Oryctolagus cuniculus: one gene and its partners. The protein of the gene in region 6 binds, or shares a complex with, the protein of the main gene of each other region. Links are inferred from orthologs where the notes say so. Each region holds a gene or a part of one and is shown on either strand. Other genes may lie near its edges. The genes, in order: SNRPF, RBM22, RBMX2, LSM5, EFTUD2, SNRNP40 and PRPF31.

Region 1 (4,443 bases), on a different chromosome or scaffold from region 6:
AAATTCACAAAGTAGAAAAGTGGTTACCAACAGCTAGAATCTGGGGTACGGGGGTGTTACTGCTTAATGGGTACAGAGTTCCACTTTAGGATAATGAAAAAGTTCTGAAATTGGGTACTAGTGGTAGCTGCAAAACAATGTTCTCACATACTATTACTGAGTGACATCTTTAAAAATGGTTAAAGTGGCCAAATTTTTATGTATATTTTATCACAATAAAAAAATTCACACCAAATCCCCCCCCTCACTGGCAAAATCATTTACAACTAGTTTAACCAACATAGTTCATCAATTCTTTCAGCTAATCTGTCTTCCCTCTGAAGAAATGCTTCTAGTTGATTACATTAATGTTGTGCCTTTAGCATTCATTAAGAGACAAGAATTTCACTTGAAAAATATCAGATTTAAGCGCTGGAAAAAGGTTTGCTTTTGAAAGCAACTCATGTATTTCCCTTATTATATGAATAATCAAATGCCTGAGTCCTCCTCACTTTACCCACCACGAGTAAGGTCTGTGAATCCTGGCCTAACCCCGTGTCTTGTACCTAGTCTATCAGTTGTAACATCCTCCCTGGCCTTGACTTCATTCCTGAATTTTGTTCTATCTTTGCCAACTGTATGAATTATTAGTCACACGAAACCTTGGAGGAATAAAGTGGAACAGAAGAAACACAGTGTCACCACCCTTTCACCTCTAGCTTACCTGCATGTTCATATAGCCGTCTACAGACACCAGGTAGCCCTTGTACTCCATTCCCCACTTGAGTTTCACCATCACGGGCTTCCCTGTTAATCCATTGAGGAAAGGTTTGGGATTGAGGGGTAAACTCTGCACAAAACAAACAAACAAAAAATCCATTGATTTTTTTTTTTCCTTAACTTGGCTTCCACTCCTCACTCTCCTCTACCAATCCACCAATCAATATTTTGTAACATCCAAATGAAGCAAACTCTTCACTCCCTATCACTCTACTACCTAATTTCCACTTTTGTTTGTTGAAGAGCATCTGGGAAATTTTTTTTTTTTTTTTGACAGGCAGAGTGGACAGTGAGAGAGAGACAGAGAGAGAAAGGTCTTCCTTTGCCGTTGGTTCACCCTCCAATGGCCGCCGCTGCAGCCGGCGCACCGATCTGATGGCAGGAGCCAGGATCCAGGTGCTTTTCCTGGTCTCCCATGGGGTGCAGGGCCCAAGCACTTGGGCCATCCTCCACTGCACTCCCGGGCCACAGCAGAGAGCTGGCCTGGAAGAGGGGCAACCGGGACAGAATCCGGCGCCCCAACCGGGACTAGAACCCGGTGTGCCAGCGCCGCAAGGTGGAGGATTAGCCTAGTGAGCCACGGCGCCGGCTAGCATCTGGGAAATTTAACCAGTTATCCCATTTCGTCTTCAACCCATCACAAAAAAATAAGTGTTCACGCTGCACTTAGGAGACAAGCGGCACCTGCAGTCCTCAGTGTCGCAAGCTCTAAGGAAACAAAGATGAAAGCCCTACAACAAACGTGTAACGAGGCTCTGTCCTTAAGAAGCCAGGGTGGGGGTGTGGCGCTGCAGACATACAGACAATTATATTGCAAAGCAGTAAGAGCGATGCTATGCAGAAAGGCCCAACCAACTCAGGAAAAAAGACAGGAACGGGCTGCCTGGTAGGAGCAATGCCTCCGTTTTAAAGGGTGAAGTCTATTCCAGAGGGAAAGGGGACCGCTGGAGGCCAGGGAGGCTTCCCATCTGGAATGACCGTGTGTATGTGTGCGCTTGCGCGCGTCATCCCGAGAACAAGCAGTACGGTCAGCATCCCACTCGGGGCAGGACCAAGCTCGGCAGGGCTCGGTCCTCACCCGACCGGTGCATCGCCGGCGAACCGAGTCTCTCCGCGCTCACCTCCTCACCCCGAGGAAGAACCCAGACACCGCTACTAAATCGCGGGAAAAGTAGGAGGGCTCCACCCGCAATAACCGCCTAACGGCCCCCAGCTCCCCACTTCTCGGGCGCAGCGAGCACACAGCCGCTACGACGTGTGCCAGAGCGCATCCCATCGGGCCTGATGAGAAAGCTCCGACGGCTGCCGAGGGCGCCGGGGTAGACCCTCCACACGCTGCCCAGGTCCTGGCGCTCTCGCAAGCGGTGGCCGCTTTCGGCCAACACCCACCACGAGTGTAGCTGTCCCTCCCTCATCGTTCCGGAGCCCCATTTCCTGTCACCCGGGCTCGGGTGAAAGCCCCCCTCCGGGGGCAGCCGCGGAAGGCGCCCCAGCGCCCCGGGGCCGCAGCCTCCCGCCCGCTCCCGTCTAGGCCGGTGCCCATTTCGGTGAACAGCGCCTGACGGACGTCTGTCTCTCACACCCCGCCCAGCTCGGCCGGTGCAGGGTCCGCATGGGCACTTCTCAGTCTCTAGTCCTGGAGCCCAAGACTCAACCTGGCCAAGTCGCCGGCGCTCAATAAGCGTCAGAACGAATACACGAACGCTCCGGGGCCTGGGCCAAGGCGGGCTGGAGAAACATCACCGACGGAATAAAAGCGGCTTCATGAGTGCGACGAAGTGGGAAACGCAAACCGCTTCAGCGTTTGCTACATCCACCCCGACTACCTCTTTCTTCCCTGGACTCAGAAAGAAGAGGCAGCAGGAGGCGAGGGTCGTCCCAGCCAGGAAGGGACTCGCGCGCGTCCGCGGAACCCGCAGACTGGCGCCCCGGTGCGCTGCGCCTCGCGGATGAATGGGAAAGGCGCGAAGCCGCCACCAGGCTCAGCCAGCCCGAAGTTGCCTTCCCGCCCTCTCCGTCTCGCGACTCCAGCAGTCCTCCCTCTCCTTACCATCACGACTTCGGGCTAACGTTGCGGATTAGACGCCGCCGACGCAGATACAGCCCGTCCCGCGTGCTCGGAGCAGCTTCCCCCAAGGCCCAGACCTCCGAAGTTGCAAGAGAAATGGCCGCCAAACCTCAGCTTGACCTTTCACCTCCCACCACCGCTCTTTCGCCTTCTATGATTGGTCAAAAAGAGGCGTGTGCTGATTGGAGGAGATGGCGCAGCCGTGTCTCCCAGCAACCAGAGACGCGTTCGGCGTTACTAGTCTTCTCCCCTGCCTTGAAGAACCGGCTGTGAGAGGCCGCGTACCCTGTGGCGCACACGTGATTTCTCGGCAGCTTGGCTAATGGGGGGTCGCTTTGTTAGTTTACAACGGTGAGAACGCGTTCGGGGCTCTCAGGTCCCCGGGTACCGCGATTTGGGGGCGCCTCTGCCACAGCCCCCTTCGACCTGAAGGTTGTCTATTCGGTAGCACCCGTTTCAGCGTTCTAAGAGGAAATGAGAGGAGCGGGCCTGGAGGCGGGGAGGTGAAACGGAGGGGCCGCGGCAGAATTCTTTGCAGACTAGGAGCCAGGACCTCCCCCGGGGCGTTGCCCGCGGGCCCCCGGCCCCGCCGGCCTGGGGAGCACCTGCGGCAGCACGGGCTGATCGGTGCCCGCGACGCAGCCGCCAGCCCCTCTCCGCGCGACCGACGCTGGACTAGCCCGGATGGGAGGTGCTGAATGCAGATCTCGGAGAACTGGCGCTTGGAGGAGGACCGCCTGCTGCTGGACACCCCCCAGAAGATGCGTTTGGACTTGAGCTTTCAGGAGATGCTCGCTGTGACTTACGTGTTGTCGGTTTAAATGATGAGCAGCAAGTCAGGGTGATCATCAGTGTGGTGTAGACCGAATAGCTGTTAGAATTATTTACCCCAAAGTGCACTGGGTTTTTTCTGGTTAGTCATCGTGTCGTGGATCTTCAGCTTTTAAGAAAAAAAATTCTTAATTTTCTTTATGAGAGAGCGAGAGCGAGACAGAGAGCGTACACGCTCTTGGACCTACTGGCTCAACTCCCCAAACACCCGCAACAAGCCAGGCTGAAGCCGGGGGCTGGGAACTCCCAAGTGAGTGGAAGGGACCCAAACTACTTGAGCCATCACCTGCTGCCTCCCAGGGTGCATTAGCAGGAAGCTGGGTCAGAAACCCAGCGGGGACTCCAAGCCAGACACTCCCATCTGGGATGTGGGCGTCTTAGGCGCTATGCCAGATGTTACACCCCTGCATCTTTAACTTTGCTATAATCTTTAGTTCCTAACTTTATGTCCGGCTCTTTCCCAATTATTATAGAAATCACACAGTGTGATCTGAAGTTACAGCTGAGATGAGAAAAACAGACTTGGCAGAGAACTTGCCCAGAGGCACGTAGCTGGATTTTAACCCCAAAACTGCTTTCTCTACTTCATAAAGCCACCTTTCAGCAACTTTAGAAAATTGGCTACATTCCAGCCTGCACAAAATGAGCCTGGAGTGTCTTGTTATGCAGAAGTAGGAAAAATGCTCAGAGTGACGGGGTCATTCAAAAGGATGTCCCAATTTTGACAACTTGAACATCAAATATGTAAAGACAGCCATGAATTACGACCCACTGAATATAACAGG
Region 2 (3,751 bases), on a different chromosome or scaffold from region 6:
TACATAGTAACCGCTTGACTATATCCCCAAGCATCCTGTTTCCTTACAAAGATTTTTCCCCCCCTTTTTTTTAAGATGCCAGAGATCTCTAGATACTTTTCTTGGTTGTATTTATGGAAAGAATAGATATCTGGTTCTTTTTCTGTATAATTCTAGCTGTATTTTTTCTATTTCAGACCAAAGAAAAGTATGGAAAGGAATGCAAAGTAAGTATGTTTGTTAAAGAGTAATGATTTCATTATAGTTTCCTTTTCTGTCCCAAACCAGCCCTCATTTATCAAGCTCTGAGGTCCTCCATAAAAGTGAGTGCTTCAGGGCTTTCTTAGATCACTTACGTCTTCACTGACTGGTAACAGTTTGGTCTGGAAGGTAAGAAGATGAGCACTCTAACCGGGTGTTCATGGATGGGCATTGAATGGTCAGTTTTGTATACCAGATGTTGGATAACCATGAGTGTCTTAGTGAAGGAGGAAGTTAGAAAGGATTGAATGATGCTCCTGTTCCTCCCCCCGAAAAGTTTAAGGCTTGGATTATTAATAGTACCTCTGGTGGAGGGACTTTGACTTTCTAGATATTTCATTCCTGTACTGTGTGAGTTTTTTTTTTTTTTTTTTTTTTTCAATGACTAGGAAGGGGTGCTGTAAATTAGATTGAAATATTAGATCTCATTTAGTTTAAATGGCTGGTACAGCATCTTCTAAGCCCTAGATTTTGGGGTCCTTTCTTGAATCCTCCATGAATTTATGAGTTGATTATCTGAGCCTGGATTGATATTGTCACTTTCTTTGTGCTCCAGATCTGTGCCAGGCCATTCACTGTGTTCCGCTGGTGCCCTGGGGTCCGCATGCGTTTCAAGAAGACTGAAGTGTGCCAGACCTGCAGTAAATTGAAGAATGTCTGTCAGACCTGCCTCTTGGACCTCGAGTATGGTAGGTCTGCCCTGTCCAGTCGTGTGGCTCTCAGTACAGTCAGGGGTCCTAAACAAGCTGGACTTTTGGTCTCCTGCTTCTCACCCTGCCTCTGGTTCTGTTCCACCATGGAATGTGGCCCGTAGTCCGCTTTTCCCAACAACAGAGCTATAATCAGGCCATTCTAGAGTGCTCCTGACAACAGTAGAAACTGTAAGGGAAAGCAAGGAATTAACCAGAACTGGCCTGTGTCTCCATCTCTGTAGCCAAGCTGAGGTACAAGGCGTTGATCCTATGCCTTAGGCTGCTTTTTTTTTTTTTTTTTTCCTCTTAGACAAAAGAGAGACAGAAATGTCTTCCTTTTCCGTTGATTCACCCCACAATGGCCGCTGCGGCCGGCGCACCACGCTGATCCAAAGCCAGGAGCCAAATGCTTCTCCTGGTCTCCCATGCGGGTGCAGGGCCCAAAGACTTGGGCCATCCTCCACTGCACTTCGGGGCCACAGCAGAGAGCTAGCCTGGAAGAAGAGCAACTGGGACTAGAACCCAGTGTGCTGGCGCCACAGGCAGAGGATTAGCCTATTGAGCGGCACTGGCCTGGGGCTGCTTTCTTAATGAAGCTTTCTTTGCTTCAGTCCAGACCAGATGTGCATAGGCTAAGTGTGCTTTAGACTTTGATCTCAGTGGTGGTGTTAGAACTAGTATGTTACTCTACTGCTGTTTCAGAATAACTGGAAAATTGCTGAGTTTCTGTGTGTTGAGCTCAGAGAGTCACTGTGCCAGTATTTATTTTAAACAAATTATACTGTAATAAAAGCTAGATACACCGTTCATTTAAAGGTCAAATGTGAAATGTGACTAAAACCAAAGTGTGTTCATCTAAAAGATTTTGTAAAGCATTCACTTCATCAAATTGCATAATGACTTGGGATATCAGATGCTTCCTTAAGATTCTGTGCTGAGGGTTTGAATAAAAATCAAGTGTGTGGAAATAGGAGGGTGGAGAAGGGAAGGATGGTGTTGTGTTGTTGTTGTTGTTGTTTTTAAATATACCTGATGGATCTAGTTCCTCTGTTCTTTTGTACCAGGCCTGCCCATCCAGGTTCGTGATGCAGGACTGTCTTTTAAAGATGACATGCCAAAATCTGACGTCAACAAAGAGTACTACACACAGAATATGGAGAGAGAAGTATGCTGCCAGTTTCTTGCTGTAGTTGTATATTTGATAAGAATCCTGATGAACTGGCTCAGTCTATATATGTGTCTTTATAGATTTCCAACTCTGATGGGACACGGCCAGTCGGCATGCTGGGGAAGGCCACCTCCACCAGTGACATGCTGCTCAAACTGGCCCGGACCACACCCTACTACAAACGGAACCGGCCCCACATTTGTTCCTTCTGGGTGAAAGGAGAGTGTAAAAGAGGCGAGGAATGTCCATACAGGCAAGACCTGGGCTGCTTTTTGGTGTTTGTTTACAGAAGATTGATAATCTGAAAAGTGGGAGATCCTAGTTTGAGATTATACATGCTTTAAAGTGTAAAGCTCATACAACTAATATGATAGAACTCAAGTCTCAAATCGCTAAATTCAGAGGAGCTTGATTAAATCGAAGATTTTACTTATGAGTGAGCCTGGGGACACTGCATTGCTAGGCTGTATAATGTAGATGCAAACCCTAAAATTTCTACCTGAGAAGTAAGATCTCACTGTCATGGGTCTGATTCCAGCATATACTTGAAGTAAAAAAGACCAGACTTGCAAAGGATGCATGGGTGTGTTGGAGCCAAAGCAGCCGAGCACCTGGGTTAGGAGTTAACTTGGAGTTGGTAAACCCCCATCTCCCAAAAGATAGTTGATGTAAAAGGAAAATCTCACACCCCAAATAACCATTTACAAACGGCTGCTAGGAGACTGGGGAGTCTGTCCCTAACCGCCAATCCCTCGCGGCTTTGTTTGGGTTGTTACTTTTTTGCTGTGACCATCATTTCCAGTTCAAAAAGTGTATCAGGGTGTGTATTTACGACTTTAATGTGTAGCTACTGTTGGATAATGCCAACTTTTTTTTTCCACCGTGACACTTGTTTTTTTCTTGAATCATAGACATGAGAAGCCTACAGATCCAGATGATCCCCTTGCTGATCAGAATATTAAAGACCGATATTATGGAATCAATGATCCTGTAGCGGATAAGCTTCTAAAACGGGCTTCAACCATGCCCCGTCTGGACCCACCAGAGGACAAGACCATCACCACACTCTATGTTGGGGGTCTGGGTGATACCATTACTGAGACAGATCTAAGGTGTGTGTGTATAATTTTAAGAACTCTTTTTTTTTTGCTTCTAACTGCCCTGGGATAATTTATTTGCAAGGACACAGGCAAGCGTGAGAAGGCTCTACACAGTGTGGTAGTGTTCAGCTACTCTGTCGTTAGTTCATACCGACTCCAGGTTCTATAAAATTGCCCTTTAGGAGTCCAGAGTAGTAGTGTTCCTCAGAGTGCTTCTCCATCCTTGCATATGAAAGTAGTTGTGAAGGATTCTATTTGACCCAGTTGGTGATGAGAATTTTGAAGGGTGGCACAGTTGCAGACAGGGTTGGTTATGTAGGGGAGGGAGAGCTTTGTGATTATAAAACCCTGATGGTTTAAATTGTTGGCTTTTGAGAGAAGCGGGTATTTGATAAATTTGTTTTATTTTGGCTTGTATTGTGCTTGGCTTCGTGAAACATTTAGGCAGATGGTAATGGAAATGACCTCTTCCAAAGAGAAAGTGGAGGAGAACCTCCTGTAGGTTTATCATCTGCTCTTGGTAGCCTGTCTCCATCAAACCCTACCAAAGT
Region 3 (3,751 bases), on a different chromosome or scaffold from region 6:
ACCCATTCAGCCTTTAGGGCAGCGGCAGCCAGCTGGGCCCGGGACAGTTGTACTAGCGTTCTCATCGGCGTACCCCAGGGCGAGATACAAATACTTTCATGTGAACAAAGGCCGAGAAGCACTGCCCAGGAGCACAAGCATCACAGAGGACCATGAGAATTCAGAGGGACAGCAACCAACTGCCCCACTCTGTAATACCGTATCATTAGCTGTCCTGGAAAAGCCTGGCAGCTAGAAGGAATTCCTGAAGTCTAGCTTAAGCTCAGCACAGTCGTTAGGAGGAGGTAAAAGTGGACCAACAAGTAGAAAGGTGAGAGAAATGGAGAAAAGACCAATTTCTTCTTCTTAAGCTCTCATGCCTTGTTCTACCCTCACCATACCAGAACAATCAGCCTACATCGATTCCTGTGCTGTGAATCACAACTCCCACAGGGGAATCACAAAATTGCTCCTCACTTAAAATTCATTCTGGGACAGGAGTTGCAGTGCAATGGGTTAGGCCACCACCGGGCATGCCTATATCCCATATTGGAGTGCCTGTTTGAGTCTCAGCTGCTCTGCTCCTGATCCAGCTTCCTGCTAATGAGCCTGGAAAGGCAGCAGATGATGGCCCAGGAATTTGGGCTCTTGGCTGTGGCCTGACCCAGACCTGGCTGTTGTGGGCATTTGGGGAGTGAATCAGAGGATGGAAACACTTGTGTTTCTCTCTCAATGTCACTCTGCCTCTCAAATAAATATAAGTAAATCTTTTTTTAAAAAAATTCTATTTTCTGACAGATACAGACTTATTACATAGACGAATTAATTTGAAATTTGAAAAGCTTAACTTTTATTGTTCCAATTCAAGAACAGATTTTTATTCTGTTCTTTGGGCTTGAATACCTTCATCAACTATCCTATTCTCCATTCTGAAACATTTTTAGAAGCCTCCCTTTTATGGTAACTCCCTCTGGCTGCTGGCTCCCTTAAAAATTAAGCCTGGCACACTGCTCCACTCTGTTCTATAATCTCCAGCCACTCCGTACTGGCACAACCAGTGACAAATTCTCAAAGGCAGGAGTCACATCTGAGCCTGAACAATGCTCACTCCAACTGAAGGGTCTTTGCTAAATGAGTGTGGGGATCATGTGGAGCACAGATAAACCTAACTTGTCCCATCCTCTTCTCTCAGCTCCAGGCCTCACTCACAATGGGGGAGATGAGAGGAAAGAGAGAAGGGAGAAATCCCAGAATGAGTTTTTTGTAGAACTGGTCATCAGATTTTCACCAGAGAATTTCCAGGGCCCAGTGTGCTAGGGCACTGGAGACACATGACAGACAGACATGGCTGTGTCCTATGAGGCCCAACTCCACCAACATAGCACACATGGAAAAACACATTTGCTAGTCTCTTTGCTCTCCAGTGCACCAGAGATGAGGGCAGAGGGTGAAGAGGGAAAGGTGAAAAATGCAGGATGGGATGGGCGGCAGGCATGTTCCTGGGGAGAAGGCTTGCTCACATACGGGGGAAAGGAACAGGTCTTGACAGGGCCATGGGCCAACAGCATCATCTCCTGAATCACTTTCTGAAGAATGCCTCCACACCTCTGTAGTCCTTGCCACACACCCAGCTGCCCAGTACTGCCCCTGCACCTGTACGGATAGACACACAGAGTCCAGCCAAATTCTGTTCACTAGGCATGCTCACCTTGATCCCATTAAAATTGTCAACAGCCAGAATCGTGCTCCTCTGGTCTTCATAGCAGAGGAAGCAGAAACCTTTGGATTTTCCAGTCTTCTTGTCCCGCACGAGATTAATGTTAACAACCTCCCCATATCTATTTATGTGAGAAAAGAGTAAGACATCATTGACTCAAAATGCAAAAATATTCAGACTGTTCATAATAAAACAAAATTCAACAATGTACTCCAGGCAGGAAACACATCTAGAACAAGGTAAGATAGAAAGGTTGAAAATAAAAAAAGACCAATTTAAAAAAGGAGTGGAAATACTAAGATTGAAGACAAATACAAGGCCAAATTAAAAACACTAAATGGGACTATGAGAGCATGAAAACTCTTTTACCTTGAAAAGGGTTCTAATATATAACAAAGGTATAAGTCATTAAGTTTTATGCATCAATTAAGAAATCCAAATTTTTGAAAAGCCAGTAGAAATACAAAAAGAAACTAATAAAACTGTAAGAGATTCTAACACATCAGTAGGTTCATAACAAAGTTAACAGAAATAAGATGAGAAAATAGACAATTGTATAATAACAATAAACATAATTAACATACCAATAATTATATTAAATATGAAAAATCAGGCTAGTACATATATAGCTATTTTTGAAACCTATAAGAAGATGACAATTTCTTTTCAAGAATTCATGAACTGGCCGGCACCGCGGCTCACTAGGCTAATCCTCTGCCTTGCGGCGCCGGCACACCGGGTTCTAGTCCCAGTCGGGGCACCGGATTCTGTCCCGGTTGCCCCTCTTCCAGGCCAGCTCTCTGCTGTGGCCAGGGAAGGCAGTGGAGGATGGCCCAAGTACTTGGGCCCTGCACCCCATGGGAGACCAGGATAAGTACCTGGCTCCTGCCTTCGGATCAGCGCAGTGCACCGGCCGCAGTGCGCTGCCCGCGGCGGCCATTGGAGGGTGAACCAACGGCAAAGGAAGACCTTTCTCTCTGTCTCTCTCTCTCACTGTCCACTCTGCCTGTCAAAAAAAAAAAAAAAAAAAAAGAATTCATGAACTTTGGATTAAAACAGACTACAGATTAGACCTCAATAAAGTTTGAAAATAGACCTCGATAAACTCCAAAAATTAGACTAGACTACGTTATCCAACCACAGTTACAGTGTTGGAAATAACGTTTTAAACAAAAAAAATACCCTACTAACAAGAACTTGGAACCTACTCTTCTAACCAGTAACCAGAAGAAAAGAGAGTAAAATAAAATAAAGCTAAAAGTCAGTGGTAGACTATTTAGAAAAGAACAAAAATACAAAGAATATACACCAAAATTTATAGGATGTGGTTAAAACCATACTCAGGAAAATCTATAACCTTAATGAATTTTGTTGTCTAAAAAACAGAAAATGAATATAAAATGAAAGCAAACTCATGAAAGACGGCTGCAATAAAGATAAAGCAGAAGTTAAATAGAAAAAAAATCTAGGGGCCAGCATCCTAGTTCAGTGGGTTAAGCCTCCAGTTGCAACACCAGCATCCCATGTGAGTGCTGGGTCACGTTCCAATGCTCAGCTTCCAATCCAGCTCCCTGCTAATGTCCCTGGGAAAGCAGCAGCAGATGGTCCAAGTGCTTAGGTCCCTGCCACCCACGTGGAAGAGCTACAAGTTCCAGGCTCCTGGCTTGGGCCTGGCCCAGCCCCTGCCATTGAGGCCATTCAGGGAGTGAACCAGTAGATGGAAGATCTTTGTCTCTCCCCCACCCCCTACAGTAATTCTGCCTTTCAAATAAATAAATTTTAAAAATTTATCTTGCTCCTTACAAAAAGATAAATTCTAGATAAGTTAAAGCTCATATTATATGATGTTATATGATCACACACATCTTACATAATAGAAAATACTAGAGGTGATTAAACTAAGGTCAGAACTATTTAACGGCATATTAAGTATGGACCAAAGCAAATGAGATAAAACAGAAGAAATGAGAAAGAAGAAATAAAACTATTTCCACAGTTTATACATTAAAATATATATAGAAAACCCAAGAGAATGAATAATAAACTGATTTAAAA
Region 4 (4,376 bases), on a different chromosome or scaffold from region 6:
ATATTAACACATAACTTAGACTGACATCTGGTGATAGCCTTAGATAATACTTTGTTGAATAAGTAGTAAATAAGCTTTCAATAAACTACAGAGTTTTAGATACAGCAAGGATGATAAATTAAGAAAGTAGCAACAAGTTAAAAGGAAAAAGCTATTATAAATCCTCAGTATAAAACAAAATTTTACATTTAAAAAAAAATGTGTAAACCATTTTGAAAAAAAAAGATTTACTTATTTATTTGAAAGGCAGAACTACAGAGAGGAAGAGGCACTATCCACTGGTTCACTCCCCAGATGACCACAAGGGTTGGAGCTGTGCTGATCCGAACCCAGGAGCCAGGAGCTTCTTCCAGGTCTCCCACAAAGGTGCAGGGCCCAAGGACTTGGGCCATCTTCTACTGCTTTCCCAGGCCACAGCAGAGAGCTGGATTGGAAGAGGAGCAGTTGGTCTTGAACCGGAGTCCATATGGGATGTCGGCATTGTAGGCAGCCTTTACCTGCTACGCCACAGCGCTGGCCCCTCTTTTACTTTTTTTTTTTTTTTTTTTTGACAGGCAGAGTGGACAGTGAGAGAGAGAGACAGAGAAAGGTCTTCCTTTATCCGTTGGTTCACCCCTTAATGGCCGCTGCTGCCAGCGCACTGCGGCAGGTGCACCACGCTGATCTGAAGCCAGGAGCCAGGTGCTTCTCCTGGTCTCCCATGCTGGTGCAGGGCCCAAGCACTTGGGCCATACTCCACTGCACTCCCTGGCCACAGCAGAGAGCTGGACTGGAAGAGGAGCAACCGGGACAGAAGCCTCAAGAAAAGGAATGTTTTTGGGGCCGGTGCTGTGGCACACTAGGTTAATCCTCCGCCTGCAGTGCTGGCATCCCATAAGGGCACCAGTTGTATTCCCAGATGCTCCTCTTCCGATCCAGCTCTCTGCTATGGCCTGGGATAGCAGTGGAAGATGGTCCAAGTCCTTGGGCCCCTGCACCGGCGTGGGAGACCCAGGGAAGGCTCCTGGCTCCTGGCTTCGGATCGGCCCAGCTCCGGCCGTTGGGGCCATTTGGGGAGTGAACCAGCGGACGGAAGACCTCTCTCTGTCTCTCTCACTGTAACTCTGTCAAAGAGTGAATTGGTGGCGGGAAATACTGATTTTTACTAGTCTTTATAAAGACAATTTTATGGGAAAACAAGCCAAAAGTTTCCTTATGCGCTGTCCTCTCGGTCGGAGGACGAACTCCTTCAGGAGGTTAGCAATCTTCAGCGTCTCTCCGAAGCCTGGGAACGAATCTGCAGGGCAGCACCCCAGGACTCCCACTCCCCAGCAAGGCAGCGCGCGGGCGCCGCCCACGTGGAGCACGCCGGCCGCCCGCTCGGCCTGCGATTGGTCGAGCCTGCCCGGCCGCGGGCAAAGGCGCAGGCGCGCTCTTTTAAAGTCACCGTGGAACGTCGATGGACGCAGGCCACTTCCGGCGTAGCCATGGCGGCTAACGCTACTACGAACCCCTCGCAGCTGCTGCCGCTAGGTAATGGTTTTCCTGTGAGGGAGCTGGGGCGGGAGGCTGGGGTTCAGGACTGGGGGCCGCGGGGTTGCGGCCGAGGCACCCCTGGCTGGTAGCGGGCCTATGTGTGGGGCCGAGCGTTTCCCCTCCGCGGCTCGCGCCGGCTCCCGAGCTCCTGCGCGCCAGGCCGCTGCTGCGATGTAACGTGCTCCTGCCCCTGGAGGCAGCTCCTCGGACTCCCCCGGAACGAACCGTGGGCGGGAGAGGGCCGCACTGGGCGAGCGCACCGTCGGCCGTGTTTGTTGGGAGCGCTGCGGCGCCGTGTCCGGAGTGGCATTTGGGATCCCCAGATGGGGTTCACCCTGTTGTGTGTCTGGGAGTTGAGCGGGAAGCAGCGCGCTGTGGAACGAGCCTTAGAGGAGGAATCTGGAAACTAGCCCTGTTTGCCATTCATTCATTCATTCATCCATCCATTCAGTAAGAGCCCGTGTTCTTCCTGCGTGCTAGTCCACAGCGACCTTAAACCACAGCCATCGCTCCCGAAGGGTACACAAGCCAGTGGAGGAGACAGTACTGGACAAGTAAACCTTGTGCCCCCCGTGCCAGGCTGGCCAGAGGTGCTGAAGCTGCCCCCAGCACCGCGGGGCTTCACTGGCGAGGGAGGAGGTGACAGGAGGCTCCCGCGACGACGGTCAGCGGCCTCTGACATTGTGTAGCCGGCGAGGAGTGGTTGCGTTGACGGACTTCAGTGATTAGGCTCGTGGAAAGCCCCGTAAATGCCCGTCCCTGTCCACTGAAGATCCAGCGATGGGCGAAAATGAGCACAGTGTCCGGGCTCGTGGCGCTTAAGAGTCTGGGGGGATGTGTTTGTGTCCCTAAATTAATCACGTGATCTGGAATAAAGATAAAGCCACAATCATGATAGATTGCTGCACAGAAAGGAGAAGTGGAAAGGCTTCTGATTAAGTAGTGGGAGCGCAGAGGTTTGCATTTTAAGATCCGAGGTTACCAAAGGGGGATGTTCTTCCTAGTTTAATTTTCACTGAATTTGGCAAGTAACAAATGCCAGCGTGCACTCGAGTATGTGCTAAAATGATGAATGGGTAAAATAATCTTTTTGCTCACGCAGAGCTTGTGGATAAATGTATAGGATCCAGAATTCACATTGTGATGAAGAGTGATAAGGAAATTGTTGGCACCCTTCTTGGCTTCGATGACTTCGTCAGTATCCTTTTAAAACGTGGTGCTGTGGCTTTTTCCTGTTTATTTAATAACAGAACCGTAGACAGTGTGTTTCTGGGTGTTAACGATAAAAGTCAGTTCATCTCAGGGCACTTGTGATGGTGTTTTCAGAGGTGAGTATACTGGAAGAAGGTCACATTCCTACCAACAGTCAGCCTTTTTATTATGAGCCTTTGTGTTAAATATTATCATTACAACTGAATGAAAGCAGAAACCAGAGTTGTTTCAACCTGGAGTGTTTATTTCCTTAACACCACCTTTCAGATATGGTATTGGAAGATGTCACTGAATTGTGAGTAGTGCTAAAAATGACAGAACTCGGCTCTTTTTCAAATTCAGGACATTTTAAGTACTGTTTAGTCAGCAAAATGGAAGTAGAGGCAACTTTTATTTACTAATGCTTGTAAAAGTTATGTAATTGTTGCTGAATTGCTAGGAAATTAGTGGAGACAAAGCTTGAAGGTAACAGATGTTAACGTGCAGGGATTTTAAGGCTCAGGTCATATCAAGGACCTGATGATGAAAACATTTAACTATATAATGTAAAATGTAAGTGATAAGTATTAGTTACATAGTAGTTTAGTGGGTAGAAATCAGTAGTAATACAAAATGTTAAAGAGTGAGTCTACTAAATATTTTATATTTGATCTTGGCAGGTTCCACCTTTTTTTTTTTTTTTTTTGAAGATAAGTCTCATGGCTGTGAATCTTTTTTAAAGCTTTATTTATTCAAAAGCCAGGTTACAGAGAGAAAGAAAGAGAGGGAAGGAGGGAGATCCTCCATTCGCTGGTTTACTCCCCCAAAGGGCTGCAATGCCAGGGCTGGGCCAGGCTGAAGCCAGGAGCCATGAGCTTTCCCCAGGTCTCCCACATCTGTTCAGGGGTTCAAGCACTTGGTCCACCCTCTGTTGCCTCCCCAGGCACATCAGCAGGGAGCTGGACTGGAAGTGGAGCAGCCAGGACTCAAACCAGTGCCTGTATGGGATGCAGCACTGCAGGCAGCAGTTTAACTTGCTGAGCCACAGTGCCAGCCCCCTTGGCTATGGATCTTATTTATATCCATTGGTCTACTCTTGCTTTTGATGAAGAGTGTACATTACCCAGTGGATAACTTTTATCTCTGAAAATCACCTTTATAATTGCTGAACTTTCGTTTATACAAACATTACCTTTTTAGAGAGAGAAGGTGTTTCTAAAATGCTGCCTTTGGTTACCACCATTTATCCTGACTTTCTGTTTTATCACTTCATTTAGTGAAATCACACCGGAAGGAAGAAGGATCACTAAATTAGATCAGATTTTGCTAAATGGAAATAATATAACAATGGTAAGACACGTTAAAACTGTTTCTGTGGGACAGGGCTTACAGACCTAACTAGTAATGTTGCCGGTTGCTTCACTCATGCCGTGGCTTGGTGGTGCTTAGGGTGGGAAAGAGATTGTCTGGTAGTCAGGGCCCTAAAGCCAAGCTCTTGAGAAGGTGTTAGGCCTAAGGATTAGTTTGCTGGGCTTTTTACTTTTGCTTGGTTAGGAATCATTGTTGAGACACTAAGTATTAATTGGTGGTACTGGGAACTGGAAACAGATATTGATGACCTGGAGAAAATGAGGAAGGGTGAGTGGCCTTGGTTGGTGAGGAGCATGTGG
Region 5 (3,751 bases), on a different chromosome or scaffold from region 6:
TGGGATGGGCGGACATTTAGGGTACATGTGTCTCACTCCCCTGCTGCCCGCCTGTGCCTTTGGACAGGGTGCTGTGGCATTCTTCACCTAAGAATTCACAGCAATGATGGAGCTGAACTGATGCGAAGCCAGGAGCCAGGGGCTTCCGGGTCTCCCACATGGTGCAGGAGCCCAAGGACTTGGGCCATCTTCCACTGCTTTCCCAGGCCACAGTGGAGAGCTGGATCAGAAGTGGAGCAGCTGGGACTCGAACCAGCGCCCATATGGGATGCCAGCACTGGGGCCAGCAGTTCTGCCCACTATGCCACAGCACTGGCCCCCAAACTTTGCTTTTAAAAACAGGTAGGGGGTGCCAGCACTGGGGCGCAGCGGGTTAAAGCCCTGGCCTACAGCGCCAGCATCCCATATGGAACCGATTTGAAGCTCCACTTTCTGATCCAGCTCCCTGCTGAAAGCTTGGGAAAACAGTGGAAGATGACCCAAGTCTTTGGGCCCCTGCACCTATGTGGGAGACCCGGAGGAGGCTTCTGGCTCCTGGCTTCAGATTGGCCCAGCTCCAGCTGTTGCAGCCATTTGGGGAATGAACCAGTGAATGGATGTCTGTCCCCCCACCCCACCTCTCTCTCTTAACTCTGCCTTTCAAGTAAATAAATAAAATTAAAAAAAAAAAAAAAAAGATTCAAATGAAAAGAGAAGATGAGCCCTTTTTGCTCTTCCCTGCCCCTTCGGCTTGCACAAACATCCCTGCCTGGCTGTCCACTTTGCCACCCCTTAGCTATCCCTCGCACCAGTCCTACGACCCCTCATAACCCGTGTCCTTCCTGCCAGGAACAAGATCACCATGATAGCCGAGCCTCTGGAGAAGGGCCTTGCCGAGGACATAGAGAACGAGGTGGTCCAGATCACATGGAACAGGTGGGGAATGCAGCTTACCTGCCCGGTCTCGAGTCCCACAAGCTCCTCTGCAAAGCCACGCGTATCCCCCTTTGCTGTTTGCTCAGCACGGTGTGGGTGGGACGAGGTGACTGCAGAGAGGGAAGGTCCCCAGGAGCCAGCAGTCACAGAGCTGTCTGTTGCTGAGTTTCCCCCATTTCCCTCCTTCCCCCAGGAAGAAGCTGGGAGAGTTCTTCCAGACCAAGTACGACTGGGATCTGCTGGCTGCCCGTTCCATCTGGGCTTTCGGCCCTGATGCCACCGGCCCCAACATCTTGGTGGATGACACCCTGCCCTCGGAGGTACAGCAGAACTGATGGGAACCTTGGGGTGCTGTCTTCCCGGAAGCTTTTTGTGTCCTCTGGTGATGGAGGGGATCCTCTTAGTGGCTGTGCGTGTCCTCTCCCTCAACTCCCGGGCTGTTGACAGGAGCTTGCTAAGGAGCTCCCATGTTTCTCTGCAGGTGGACAAGGCTCTTCTTGGCTCAGTGAAGGACAGCATCGTCCAGGGTTTCCAGTGGGGAACCCGGGAGGGGCCCCTCTGTGATGAGTGTAAGTCTGTCAGCACCTCCCCGCCCCAGTTCTCAGGGACCTTGCAGCTAGGGTGGGCCCGCCAGCTTTGAGGCCTGGCAGGTGAAGCAGTGTGGGGCACCCAGGGCCATCCCCTGTGCTGGGCCAGCTTCCTCCCTTCCTCCCCCTGCCCTGGTGCCGCAGTTAGGATGCATCCTGACTGACATTTTCTCCTCCTTCCTGGGAAGGCTTTGACTTGGAGTGTGTTTGAGGAGAGATACCAAGAGGGCAGTGAGGTTGGAGTGGTTTATGGACAAAGATTAGACCATGGGACCAAGTTATTGTCCGTGGGACCAAGTTAGCAATTGGATACTCTTTATCCAAACAAATTTCAGTGTCTTGTGCTGTCTAGGAAAGCCCCACATGTCTGAGCATGGCCTGAGGCAAACACTAGGAGCACAGTTCACCTTCAGACCTCTTTGCCAGGCCTTGCCTATCTCTTTGGAACGCCCTGCTCTTTGTGCTGTGTCTTTGGTATCTGTGAGACAGCTGTGATGTAGCAAGACTGTTGGTCTGGATGCCCTGGAGACTCGCCCCAGAGCCCTCCTCAGGCAGCTGTCTGCATCTCCTTTCCAGTGATTCGAAATGTCAAGTTTAAGATCCTGGATGCAGTGGTTGCCCAGGAGCCCCTGCACCGGGGTGGGGGCCAGATCATCCCCACGGCCAGGAGAGTCGTCTACTCCGCCTTCCTCATGGTAAGAGACTGGGGCTTTCCTGGACAGTGGATTAATTGGAAGACCGAGCTTGGTGCGGCCTCAAGCCTACACCCCCCAAGCTGAAGAGCCGTTTCTCTCTCCGCTGCAGGCCACTCCTCGTCTGATGGAGCCTTACTACTTTGTAGAGGTCCAGGCCCCTGCAGACTGTGTCTCTGCCGTCTACACTGTCCTGGCCAGGCGCAGGTCAGTAGCTCTGGATGTCTTAGGGGGAGTGCTGGGAGCCAGAGGGTACAGGAAGCAGCAGCTGCTGTGCTGGGGGAGAGATGGGACTCCCCTCCCCTCTCCAGACCCAGTGAGTGTACTTTCTAGAAGAAATAGGAAAGCGACGAGCTTTACTCCAGGTTACAATTTGAGATTTCCTCTGAGCCCCCACCCCCACTCCCAGAGAGTCCCTGGTGGAGAGTGCTGGGTGCTGAAGCAAGTCTGTAGCACCCTGTCCCTTCAGTGTCCCCACTCCCGTGTTCTGCCCAGAGGTTGCTGTCCCTTTGACTTCCACAGAGAATTACTCTGGGAGCTCCAAGCTGGAATGCATCTGGGGCAGCAGAAGCCACACTGCAGTTTGGCTTTTGGTTTCTGCACAGCCAAGGCCTCAGCCTTTGTTTTTCCATCGCAGGGGACACGTGACTCAGGATGCACCCATCCCAGGCTCGCCACTCTACACCATCAAAGCTTTCATCCCGGCCATTGATTCTTTTGGGTTTGAAACTGATCTCCGGACGCATACCCAGGGACAGGCCTTTTCCCTGTCTGTCTTCCACCACTGGCAGGTGAGAAGGCTGTTCAGGCCAGCAGGTGTGGCCTCCCACCCCACAAGGCTAACCTTTGCCCTGTTCCCCTTGCAAGCCCTGCCTTCCTAGAGAAGAGCCCTGCTTCTGGGGCTTGACTTCTCTGGGAAGGCTGCCTGGACACCACCTGAATCCCCCTTGCCTTTCAGATTGTACCCGGTGATCCCCTGGACAAGAGCATTGTCATCCGCCCCTTGGAGCCCCAGCCAGCCCCTCACCTGGCCCGAGAATTCATGATCAAAACCCGTCGGAGGAAGGTGTGTGTCCCTCAGGCCCATTACCAACCCTCAACTCCCCTAGGGCTCAGCAGGAGCTGGGTCTCTCCATTTTTCCCTTGAGCCCTTTCCCAAGGGCCTGTAGACTGACAACAGTTTATTGCATGTAGACAGGTGCGATCTGGAAACTCCTCGTGTGGCCAGACCTGGGGCCCAGTCTGGCCAGGAAAGGAGGGCCTTCCCCTCAGCTGTGATGAGCCCCTGTAGCCCTGCAGCCTCCCCTGCAAGCATAGGTCTTGGATGGCCCCAGCCAGTCAGCCCCCGTAGGCCTCATTCTCACGTCTCTCCCACTCTCTGCAGGGCCTGAGTGAAGACGTGAGCATCAGCAAGTTCTTCGACGACCCTATGTTGCTGGAGCTTGCCAAACAGGATGTTGTGCTCAATTACCCCATGTGAGTGTGGGGCCTGCTGACACTGCTTGCCGTAGGTGCGGCTCCCGGGCTTGAGGCTGAGGCCTGCTGGGCCCTTCACCT
Region 6 (3,751 bases):
TAAGGAATAGCAAGAATTTTATTCTCCTATGAAGACTACATAGCAATGTTAAATAAAATTTGGAAGAAATTTTGTATAAAACCATTGACCTTAACACAATTGCTGTTCTTTTTCCATGTGACATCCAGACTATTTCTGTCGGTCTTAATATTTATTTTATATAGTTGCAGTAAATGTAAATATAGTGCTTTGTATTTTCCTTTTTGCTTAATATCTTATTATGTAAATATTTTTACATTCAGGCTCCAGAGATTTTTTTTTTAGGAACTGCTTAATAATAGCTACCAATTATTGCAGTCCTGCCATGTGCCAGTCCTATGCTGAGCACTCTCATTTGTACATCTTTACAGCAGTCGAAAGAAGTAGATACTATAATCTCTGTTTTCCCAAACAGGCTTAGAAAGATTTAGTGGCCCAATAAACTCCAGTTCCTTCTGACCCTGAATCTCCATTGTTTCCACTATGCCATCCTGTCTCCTGTAAGAGAACTCTCCAGTGTGCTTGTGAACTATAATTTAATAAACCATCTGTTTTTATATTTGACATTTAGATTATTTCCAGTTAAACAGTTTATCTTACCTTGCCTATACAGGCAATAGTGAGTCTGCATTTTTTTAAAGTAAATACACTTTTCCAAACTGTATTTATATGTGTTTGTATGTATGTTATATGTGTGTGTGCGTGCGCATGTGCGTACATATTATAACGTTAAATAAAAATTAAGCATCTGTTTTTGTATATTGTTTTGTTACATGTAATGGCGATGCTTTCAAATTACAATGTTACTTGTTTTTATGTAGTTCTGATAGTTCCCTTTTATTTCTTAATTTTTATGTGATTTAATTTTGTTTGAAAGAGACAGAAAAAGATTTTCCATCTGCTGATTCACTCCCCAGATAGCCATAACAACCAAGGCTGTGCCAGACCAAAGCCAGGATCCCAGAACTCAAACTAAGTCTCCCACATAGGTGGCAAGGACCAAAGTACGTAAACCATCATCTGCTGCTTCTCAGGCCACTCATTAGCAGGAAACTGGATCTGAAACAGGGGAGCCGTGACACTAACCAGGCACTTCTACATCAGATGAGTCCCAGGAAGCGTCTTAACCGCTATGCCACTATTAACTGGTGGCTGATAATCACAGTTTAAATGTTTTAAATGACATTTAATTTTTTCACTAATGCCCAGTACATTTTGTTGTGATCTGGAAATAACTTCCATGGGGTGTACATTGCATAGTGGTTAAGACATCACTAGGTGTGCTCGCATCCGGTTCTCAGAGTACCTGGGTTTGAGTCCCAGCTCTACTTGACTGTTAACTTCCTGCAGATATGCCCCCCTGAGAATCAACAGCTGATAACCAAAATCCTTGGGTTCCTGCCACCCTCATGGGAGACCCTGATGGAGGGTCCTAGCCTAGCCCTAGCAGGCAATTGGGGACTGAAGAAGCAGATAGAATATCTCTTTTGGCCTCTCTCTCTCTTTCTGTGCTTTCCAAATAAATTTTTAAAATACTTCTTGAAGAACCTCTATAAATTTTGTTGTTGTTAAACTTTATCTTAGTATATGACATTTAAGCAAACATAGTAACTTTGACTTTTTTAGGAAAATGCAAGTTCTTTTCTTTTTAACAGAAATCCTATATTTTGTGGTAAAGTAATATGTGGCCCAGAGCCAGATTTCCCAGGCCATTGACTCTTGCGTAATAATGTTTCTTTACTATTTTTCAGCTTGATTTCTAGGAGCACCTTTTTGTTTTTGCAGGTCTGGGACCTACGCCAAAACAAGCTAACCTACACCATGAGAGGCCATGCAGATTCAGTGACTGGGTTAAGTTTAAGTTCTGAAGGCTCTTATCTCTTGTCCAATGCAATGGACAATACAGGTAACTTTGCAGAGGAAAGCTCTCCCAATGCCCAATCATTGTCACTGTGAATAAAGTAACATTGAGTGCTAGAAATGTGTACTGGGATGAAGGAAGAGTCCAAGGAACAAGTCAAGAACGGCTCTCGTATTCTACTAGGCAGTTAGGAGAAGACACTGTAAAGGGAAAAATTACAGACTATATGGTCAAGAATCTGGGACTCTGGGCCCCGATCTGCCATCTAGTCCCTGAATAGTAACTTGCACACAATGTTTCTCCTCTCTGAGCATCAGTTTCTACAATGATGAAATTATAGGACCAGACTTGCCTTTTTAAGGTCCATTTCAGCTTGATACACAGTGAATCCATGCAGGTTACAAGAAACTCTAGTGATTAGTTAATATGGAAGATGAGAATCCAGTGGTCCATTCAAGGCATTTCACAAGCATTTTCAGAGAGTACCAAACTTGGGGGATCAATAGACCTATTGTGTTTTCTGCCAATGTATCTTCCCTCCCTAATAATACTGAAGTGAGAAGAGGTCCTCATTAAAACATCTCAGTGTTCTAGATTTATACAAACACATATTCTTGCCCATTCTCTATTTGTTATTATTAAGGTTTTTTTCCTTCTTTGTTTATTTGAAAGGCAAAGCAACACAGAGAAAGGGAGGGAGAGATCTTCTATCCACTGCTTCACTTCCCAAATGACCTCAATAGCCAGGGCTGGGCCAGACCAGAGCCAGGAGCCAGAAACTTCATCCTGGCCTCCCACATGGGTGGCAGAAGCCCAAGCACTATCTTTTAATTCCATTTTTTCATGAACTTTATGCAGTGTTCTTGCATAGTTAATATTGGGAGAGTTTGGAAATGCCCCGATACAGAAATTCACAGGCTTATCAGGAACTAAAATGCATTCACTGGCATTTCTTATCAAAAACAGTACCTGGGAATGGACATTCGGCCCAGTGATTAAGACACCACTTGGGATGCCTGCATTCCTTATCAGGGTACCTGAGTTCACATCCTGGCTGCGAATTCTAGCCTCCTGCTAGATGCATGCCCTGGGAGCCAGCAGGTCATGCTTCCAGTGGTTTGGTCCCTGCCACCCTCGTGGGAGACCTTGATTGAGTTCAGGCTTCTGTCTTTTGCTTGGCTGGGCCCCCTCTGTTGGGAGCATTTAGGGAGTAAACCTATAGATGAAAGATTCGCCCTCGCCCTCGCCCTCTCCCTCTCCCTCTCTCTCTCTCTCTCTCTCCCCCTCATTTCAAATAAATCACAGTAAGTAAAAAAAAATGTTTAAAAGAAGAGTACCAGACACTCCATGGGTACTCAAATTCATTGCATCAACATCTTTACTTTCTTATTATGATTAAGAAATTTTCTGTTTATTACCTCCAATTCTTAGAACCTTATTGTCTTATTTGAACCTTAAAATGGGCTTCTAAGAAAAGACAAATAGGCCAGCACCGTGGTGCAGTACATTAAGCCTCTGCCTTTAATTCCAGGATCCTATATCAGAGCTCAGGTTCAAGTCTCAGCTTCTCTACTTCCAATCCAGCTTCTTACTGATGTGCTTGGGAAAGCTGGGGAGATGGTCCAGGTACTTGGACCTCTGCTACCCATGGAGGAGACTCAGATAAAGTCCCAGGTTCCTGTCTTTGGCCTGACACAGCATTGGTCATTGCAGCCATTTGGGCAGTTAACCAGCAGATAGATCTCTTCTGTCTCCTTCACTCTGCCTTTTAAATAAATAAATCTTTTTAAAAAGATGTAGCATTTCTCTTTCCTATCCTGTTGTCTTTCCTCTGTGTCCTTAACCCCAGCTAATGGGACTTGGATACATTGATTCCCCTACAAAAGGAAAAAAGCCTTAACAGGTAGCACG
Region 7 (4,410 bases), on a different chromosome or scaffold from region 6:
AATGAACTCTACAGAGGGCGGTCAGCCAGGGCTTGTGTGCCCAGCCAGACGCAGAGGGAGAGGGACGGGACCAAGCAAACAGGGAGCCCAGTGCAGTGGCCGAAGTCTGTGCCGCGCCTGCGCCAGAAAGACCTGGGTTCAAATCCTGGCTCTGCCATTTATCAGCTGTGTGAGCTTGGTTGCTTAGCCTCAGCCTCACGTTTTTGCATTTCCAAACGGGGACAATGAGGATTCATCCCTAGGGAGGGTGGGCTAAGGGCAGAGGCTCACAGAGTCCCCCTGGGCCCAGCACCCATTTGCTAAGCAGATACCTCCCGCCTCTCCCCGAACCCCAACACCACTTGAAGGGCTGAACTGTGTTCCTTCCCCCTCCCCTTGAAAAGGCGTGTTGGAGGCCCAACCCCAGCACCGGGCCCCTACAGAGCAGACCAAGTTCAAAGGAGGCCCCTGTGTAAGGCCTACTCCAGCGCTGTGTGCTTCGTGAACACCGGAAAGTCCAGAGGCCGAGATCCAGGCGCGGCTTCCCAGAGCAGGAGAGGGCCAGGAACCGGGGGAGGCCCCCGGAGCCCCTGCTAAGAGGCCACAGAACAGGACCGCTCCCGCGGCGCCCCCTGACGGGCAAGACGGGGAGGAACCCAGAGACCTTGTCCCGCGGCGCCGAGCCTGGCTCCCGCTCCATCCTCCTCCGGGCCAGGGAAGCTGCAGCAGGGCTGGGGGTGGGGGGCGAGGCCCGGGCTCGGGTAGGGGAGGCGGGGGCCCGCGCTTCCACCTGGGGGTGTCAGGGAGCTCCCGGGGCAGAGTGCGTGGGCGAAGCTAGGTCGACACGCCCACGCAGGGGACGCACCCACCCACCTGCTCTATCTCCCGGCAACGCCGCCCCAGCGCCTGGTACTTCCTGCGGTTCAGCTCCCGCTGGCGCCGCCGCCGGCCCCGGGCGGCCTCCTCTTCCTCCTCCCGCTCCCGGAGCCCCGAGCCGCCCAGGCCGCCGGACACGAACTCCACTTCCGTCTCGAGCTCGCTCTCCAGAATGTGGCCGCCGAAGAGCGGAGGCAGCGCCAACTCCGAGCCCGGCGGCGCCGAGAACTCCTCAAAGCCCACGGCCGCCATGGTCCTGCAGGGTCGCGGGCGGTCGCGGACGCTCAGGGACGCCGCGCGCCCGGGCCCCAGCCCCCGCCTCCCGCAGCCGCCCGCGCGCGGTGCAGACCCGCCGCTCACCCCTCTCTCTGCTCCAGCTCCATCGCTGTCCCGCTCCGGGCGCCCCGGGCCGTCCGACTCGCGGCCGGGTCTCCAGCCTCGGGCCCAGGCTTCGCGGCGCGCCGGGGCTGCCACCCGGGCCCTCTGGGAGTGGGGCTGGGGGGTGCGGGCTCCTGTTTTCGGCCTCGTGCCCTCACCTCCCGCGCCCCGCCATCCCCACCTCCACCCTCCCGAGTCCCGGGTTTCTCGTCTGCGTGCCACCGCCTGTATTCTCCTGTCGACACTGTCGTGCAGCCACGGCGATCCTCCGCTCAGCAGGCTCCAGCTCTCCTCTCCGGGACTCACCCCGTCTCCTCCTCCGCGCGGGTGCTAATAAAGTTGTTGTTCCGAACGCGCGGCCGAGGGCCAATCAGAGCGCAGCGCCGGCGACGCGGGCGTGGGACGTCATCAGTGCGCGCCGGCCGCTCGGGGAAGCTGCTCACTTGCTGCAAACGGTCGTGGTGAGTGGGGTGCGCAGGACGGGGCGGGGGGCGGAGTGGGAGAGGGGAGAGGCGGAGGTCCTACGGCGCTCCCCGCCCGGGGTCCGGCCCTGGGGACAGCTCGGACGTTAGAGCTTGGGTTGACGGCGGGGAGGCAGGCTTAACCAGGTGGTCCCTTACGGGGTCCCCTGCATGTGAGGCGTCCGGGCCTACTCCCGTGGGGGTGGGCTGCGGGGGTCCCGGCGGTGGGAAGGTAGGGCTCGCGGAGACCTGGAGGCGAGGACAGGGTTGTCAGGCTCGCCCGGAGTTGGGTGGGGGGCTTTCATGGGTCCCGGCTGGGGCTAGCCCGGCCAGCGAAGCAGGCGGGAGTGCCTGTCCTGGGCAGCCTGCGGCGGTGGGCTCGGTGAAGAAGGGGCTGGGCCGGGGCTGGGCTGGGCGCTGGGGGCGTGGCCCCTCCCAGGAGCGGGGGCCCAGGGGGGACACAGTCCGAGGGGAAACGCCTCCCCCGCAGGTCGCGGGATGTCTCTGGCGGACGAGCTCCTGGCCGACCTCGAAGAGGCGGCAGAAGAGGAAGAGGGAGGAAGCTACGGGGAGGAGGAGGAGGAGCCGGCCATCGAGGATGTGCAGGAGGAGGCGCAGCTGGATCTCTCGGGGGACTCGGTCAAGAGCATCGCCAAGCTATGGGACAGCAAGATGGTGAGAGGAGGGAGATGCGGGCGCCCCCGGGAGCGGGGGTTGGGGCTCTGGTTCTGACTGTCCCCGGCTTCCCGCAGTTCGCGGAGATCATGATGAAGATCGAGGAGTACATCAGCAAGCAGGCGAAGGCGGCGGAAGGTGCTGCCCCCCACCCCTCCCCGCCCGGCGCGGCCCTGGCCCCTGCGTCCCGCCGACCCGCCGACAGCTGGCTCTGCCTTCAGCCCGGCCTAGCCCCCCTTTCTTCCTGAAAGCCCCCCTGCATCCCAGGGCTGGTGTTTCTGACCTCCTCGCCCTGTGCTGAGCGCCTGCTGCTTGCCGCTGGGCACACCTCAGGGCGTCCAAGCTCGCGTGGGGCGCGCACACGGCCTTTGCCACGGCCGTGAGACGCCAGCCGTAGGACCTGACATCAGGGGACTTGTCCCTTTAAGTTTCTTAGAAATCTTGACTTTCTGTTTCTATGCTTTCTATTTTTTATCCTTGTGGGTTTTTTTTTTATTATTATTATTACTAGAAAAGCAGAATTAGAGAGAGAGAGAGAGAGATGTTCTACATGGTGCCTCACTCCGGAGATGACTACAGCGGCCAGGGCTGGGAGCCAGGGACTCCGTTTGGGTCTCCCACAGGCATGGCAGGGGCCAGCTTCCACTGATTTCCCGGGCGCATTAGCAAGGAGCTGGGTCAGAAGTGGAGCAGCCGGGACTCGAACCTGTGTTCGTATGGGATGCTGGTGTTGGAGGTGGCGCTTTAACCCACTGCCACAACGCCAGCCTGTCCTTTACCTTTATCTAAGAAGGAAGCATTACTACTGTACGCTTTGGTAGATACGAGTTAGCAATAAAAGTAAATAACTTACTGTTAAATTATTATCTAAAGCCTTTTCCCGCTTCTGACATCGGGGCCCACCGGGTCAGATGTTGAATGTGCAGGTCAGCTCCTGGGAGGGCTGTCCTGTTTCTGCCCCTTGCTCTTTGTCACCCAGGGCTCTTGGTGGCGGTCACTGGCACCAGGAAGCGGGGCGGGGGGAGGTTGCTGGGCATGGGGGAGGGGAGTGGGCCGAGAGCAGAGGCTCCGAGAAACTGGTTCCCCCTTCACCTAGTGTTTCCCGGGTCCCTGCTCTTGAGATGCTCAGGGTCTGGTGCAGGAGACAGGCGGGTCCCAGGCAGTTGTCGGAGGGGCTCAGGGTGGGACTGTTCGGTCCTGCCTCGGGGGTCCTGAACCAGACTCCGGAGCCTGAGTACCTGCGCTGAGCAGAGAAGGAGCCCGGGGCTTGGGGGCCAGCCGGGCACTTCTCCCAAGCCATAGGGAGGGACACTTCCCCAGGTCAGGCCCGGCCATGCCCAGCAGGGGGGGATGTGGATGCACCGCGTCTCACAGCCTGGTGTCTGACAGGCAGCACCAGCACCGCCGGGGTGTGGGGAGACCCCTCACCAACCCCCCTCAGCCCCCGCCAGCCAGCGTCTGGGCTCAGCTTCAGGCCGTACCCTCGTCAGCCCCTCCCCCGGTCCCCGCCTCCCCAGCCGTGGGCCCCTGGGGAAGGTGCCTTCGGACTGAGCCCCGCACCCCGGCTCCTCCTCCTCAGTGATGGGACCGGTGGAGGCGGCCCCTGAGTACCGTGTCATCGTGGACGCCAACAACCTGACCGTGGAGATCGAGAACGAGCTGAGTGAGTGCCAGGCCGAGCTGGCCCTGCCTGGGACCCCGGGCCACCCTGCCCTGCTGGCCTCTCCCACACCCTGCCCGGGCCCCGTGCATGAGAGCGGGCACGGCGGGGGGCGGGGGGACAGCGCTGAAGCGGCGTGGCTCACGTAGGGAGAGGAGCTTTTCCTCTCAGGGAGCCACGCCGTGGTGCCCGGGCTCTTGCTGTCATGTGGATCTGCCGCTGGCTCGTGGGACAAGGCGACCGCCCCACTTCCGGCCAGCGCCTTCACGTCCCACCAGCAAGGCCAGGAGGCAAGGAGGGGCATGAGCTGCCGTCCTCGCTCAGCCGGCAGCCGGGACAGGCTCTGCCGAGACGCCGGCATCTGAGGGCAGTGCAGAGGAA

The links.
Region 1: SNRNP40 (region 6) and SNRPF share a complex: the UniProt entries of both Homo sapiens proteins name them as parts of the U4/U6-U5 tri-snRNP complex. The link is inferred for Oryctolagus cuniculus from reciprocal best matches to the Homo sapiens genes SNRNP40 and SNRPF.
Region 2: SNRNP40 (region 6) and RBM22 share a complex: the UniProt entries of both Homo sapiens proteins name them as parts of the postcatalytic spliceosome P complex. The link is inferred for Oryctolagus cuniculus from reciprocal best matches to the Homo sapiens genes SNRNP40 and RBM22.
Region 3: SNRNP40 (region 6) and RBMX2 share a complex: the UniProt entries of both Homo sapiens proteins name them as parts of the minor spliceosome. The link is inferred for Oryctolagus cuniculus from reciprocal best matches to the Homo sapiens genes SNRNP40 and RBMX2.
Region 4: SNRNP40 (region 6) and LSM5 share a complex: the UniProt entries of both Homo sapiens proteins name them as parts of the U4/U6-U5 tri-snRNP complex. The link is inferred for Oryctolagus cuniculus from reciprocal best matches to the Homo sapiens genes SNRNP40 and LSM5.
Region 5: SNRNP40 (region 6) and EFTUD2 share a complex: the UniProt entries of both Homo sapiens proteins name them as parts of the minor spliceosome. The link is inferred for Oryctolagus cuniculus from reciprocal best matches to the Homo sapiens genes SNRNP40 and EFTUD2.
Region 7: SNRNP40 (region 6) and PRPF31 share a complex: the UniProt entries of both Homo sapiens proteins name them as parts of the U4/U6-U5 tri-snRNP complex. The link is inferred for Oryctolagus cuniculus from reciprocal best matches to the Homo sapiens genes SNRNP40 and PRPF31.

The regions. Positions count from the first base shown.
Region 1 is NC_091442.1:98,723,631-98,728,073, reverse strand, and holds the start of SNRPF (small nuclear ribonucleoprotein F), read right to left. Parts: upstream 2,950-4,443; 5' UTR 2,813-2,949; coding exon 2,810-2,812; intron 830-2,809; coding exon 704-829; intron 1-703. UniProt on the Homo sapiens protein: Plays a role in pre-mRNA splicing as a core component of the spliceosomal U1, U2, U4 and U5 small nuclear ribonucleoproteins (snRNPs), the building blocks of the spliceosome.
Region 2 is NC_091437.1:37,915,436-37,919,186, reverse strand, and holds part of RBM22 (pre-mRNA-splicing factor RBM22), read left to right. Parts: intron 1-176; coding exon 177-206; intron 207-796; coding exon 797-929; intron 930-1,996; coding exon 1,997-2,097; intron 2,098-2,180; coding exon 2,181-2,353; intron 2,354-3,011; coding exon 3,012-3,212; intron 3,213-3,751. UniProt on the Homo sapiens protein: Required for pre-mRNA splicing as component of the activated spliceosome. Involved in the first step of pre-mRNA splicing.
Region 3 is NC_091453.1:108,061,144-108,064,894, reverse strand, and holds part of RBMX2 (RNA-binding motif protein, X-linked 2), read right to left. Parts: intron 1,818-3,751; coding exon 1,688-1,817; intron 1-1,687. UniProt on the Homo sapiens protein: Involved in pre-mRNA splicing as component of the activated spliceosome. As a component of the minor spliceosome, involved in the splicing of U12-type introns in pre-mRNAs.
Region 4 is NC_091447.1:23,532,843-23,537,218, reverse strand, and holds the start of LSM5 (U6 snRNA-associated Sm-like protein LSm5), read left to right. Parts: upstream 1-1,354; 5' UTR 1,355-1,466; coding exon 1,467-1,512; intron 1,513-2,617; coding exon 2,618-2,713; intron 2,714-2,994; coding exon 2,995-3,022; intron 3,023-3,983; coding exon 3,984-4,056; intron 4,057-4,376. UniProt on the Homo sapiens protein: Plays a role in pre-mRNA splicing as component of the U4/U6-U5 tri-snRNP complex that is involved in spliceosome assembly, and as component of the precatalytic spliceosome (spliceosome B complex).
Region 5 is NC_091448.1:18,100,989-18,104,739, reverse strand, and holds part of EFTUD2 (116 kDa U5 small nuclear ribonucleoprotein component), read left to right. Parts: intron 1-828; coding exon 829-915; intron 916-1,108; coding exon 1,109-1,235; intron 1,236-1,396; coding exon 1,397-1,484; intron 1,485-2,078; coding exon 2,079-2,197; intron 2,198-2,306; coding exon 2,307-2,401; intron 2,402-2,831; coding exon 2,832-2,985; intron 2,986-3,152; coding exon 3,153-3,260; intron 3,261-3,578; coding exon 3,579-3,674; 3' UTR 3,675-3,751. UniProt on the Homo sapiens protein: Required for pre-mRNA splicing as component of the spliceosome, including pre-catalytic, catalytic and post-catalytic spliceosomal complexes. Component of the U5 snRNP and the U4/U6-U5 tri-snRNP complex, a building block of the spliceosome.
Region 6 is NC_091438.1:141,099,953-141,103,703, forward strand, and holds part of SNRNP40 (U5 small nuclear ribonucleoprotein 40 kDa protein), read left to right. Parts: intron 1-1,764; coding exon 1,765-1,885; intron 1,886-3,751. UniProt on the Homo sapiens protein: Required for pre-mRNA splicing as component of the activated spliceosome. Component of the U5 small nuclear ribonucleoprotein (snRNP) complex and the U4/U6-U5 tri-snRNP complex, building blocks of the spliceosome.
Region 7 is NC_091449.1:4,564,849-4,569,258, reverse strand, and holds the start of PRPF31 (U4/U6 small nuclear ribonucleoprotein Prp31), read left to right. Parts: upstream 1-1,563; 5' UTR 1,564-1,694; exon of another isoform or gene 1,695-1,926; intron 1,927-2,184; 5' UTR 2,185-2,192; coding exon 2,193-2,369; intron 2,370-2,446; coding exon 2,447-2,507; intron 2,508-3,948; coding exon 3,949-4,032; intron 4,033-4,410. UniProt on the Homo sapiens protein: Involved in pre-mRNA splicing as component of the spliceosome. Required for the assembly of the U4/U5/U6 tri-snRNP complex, one of the building blocks of the spliceosome.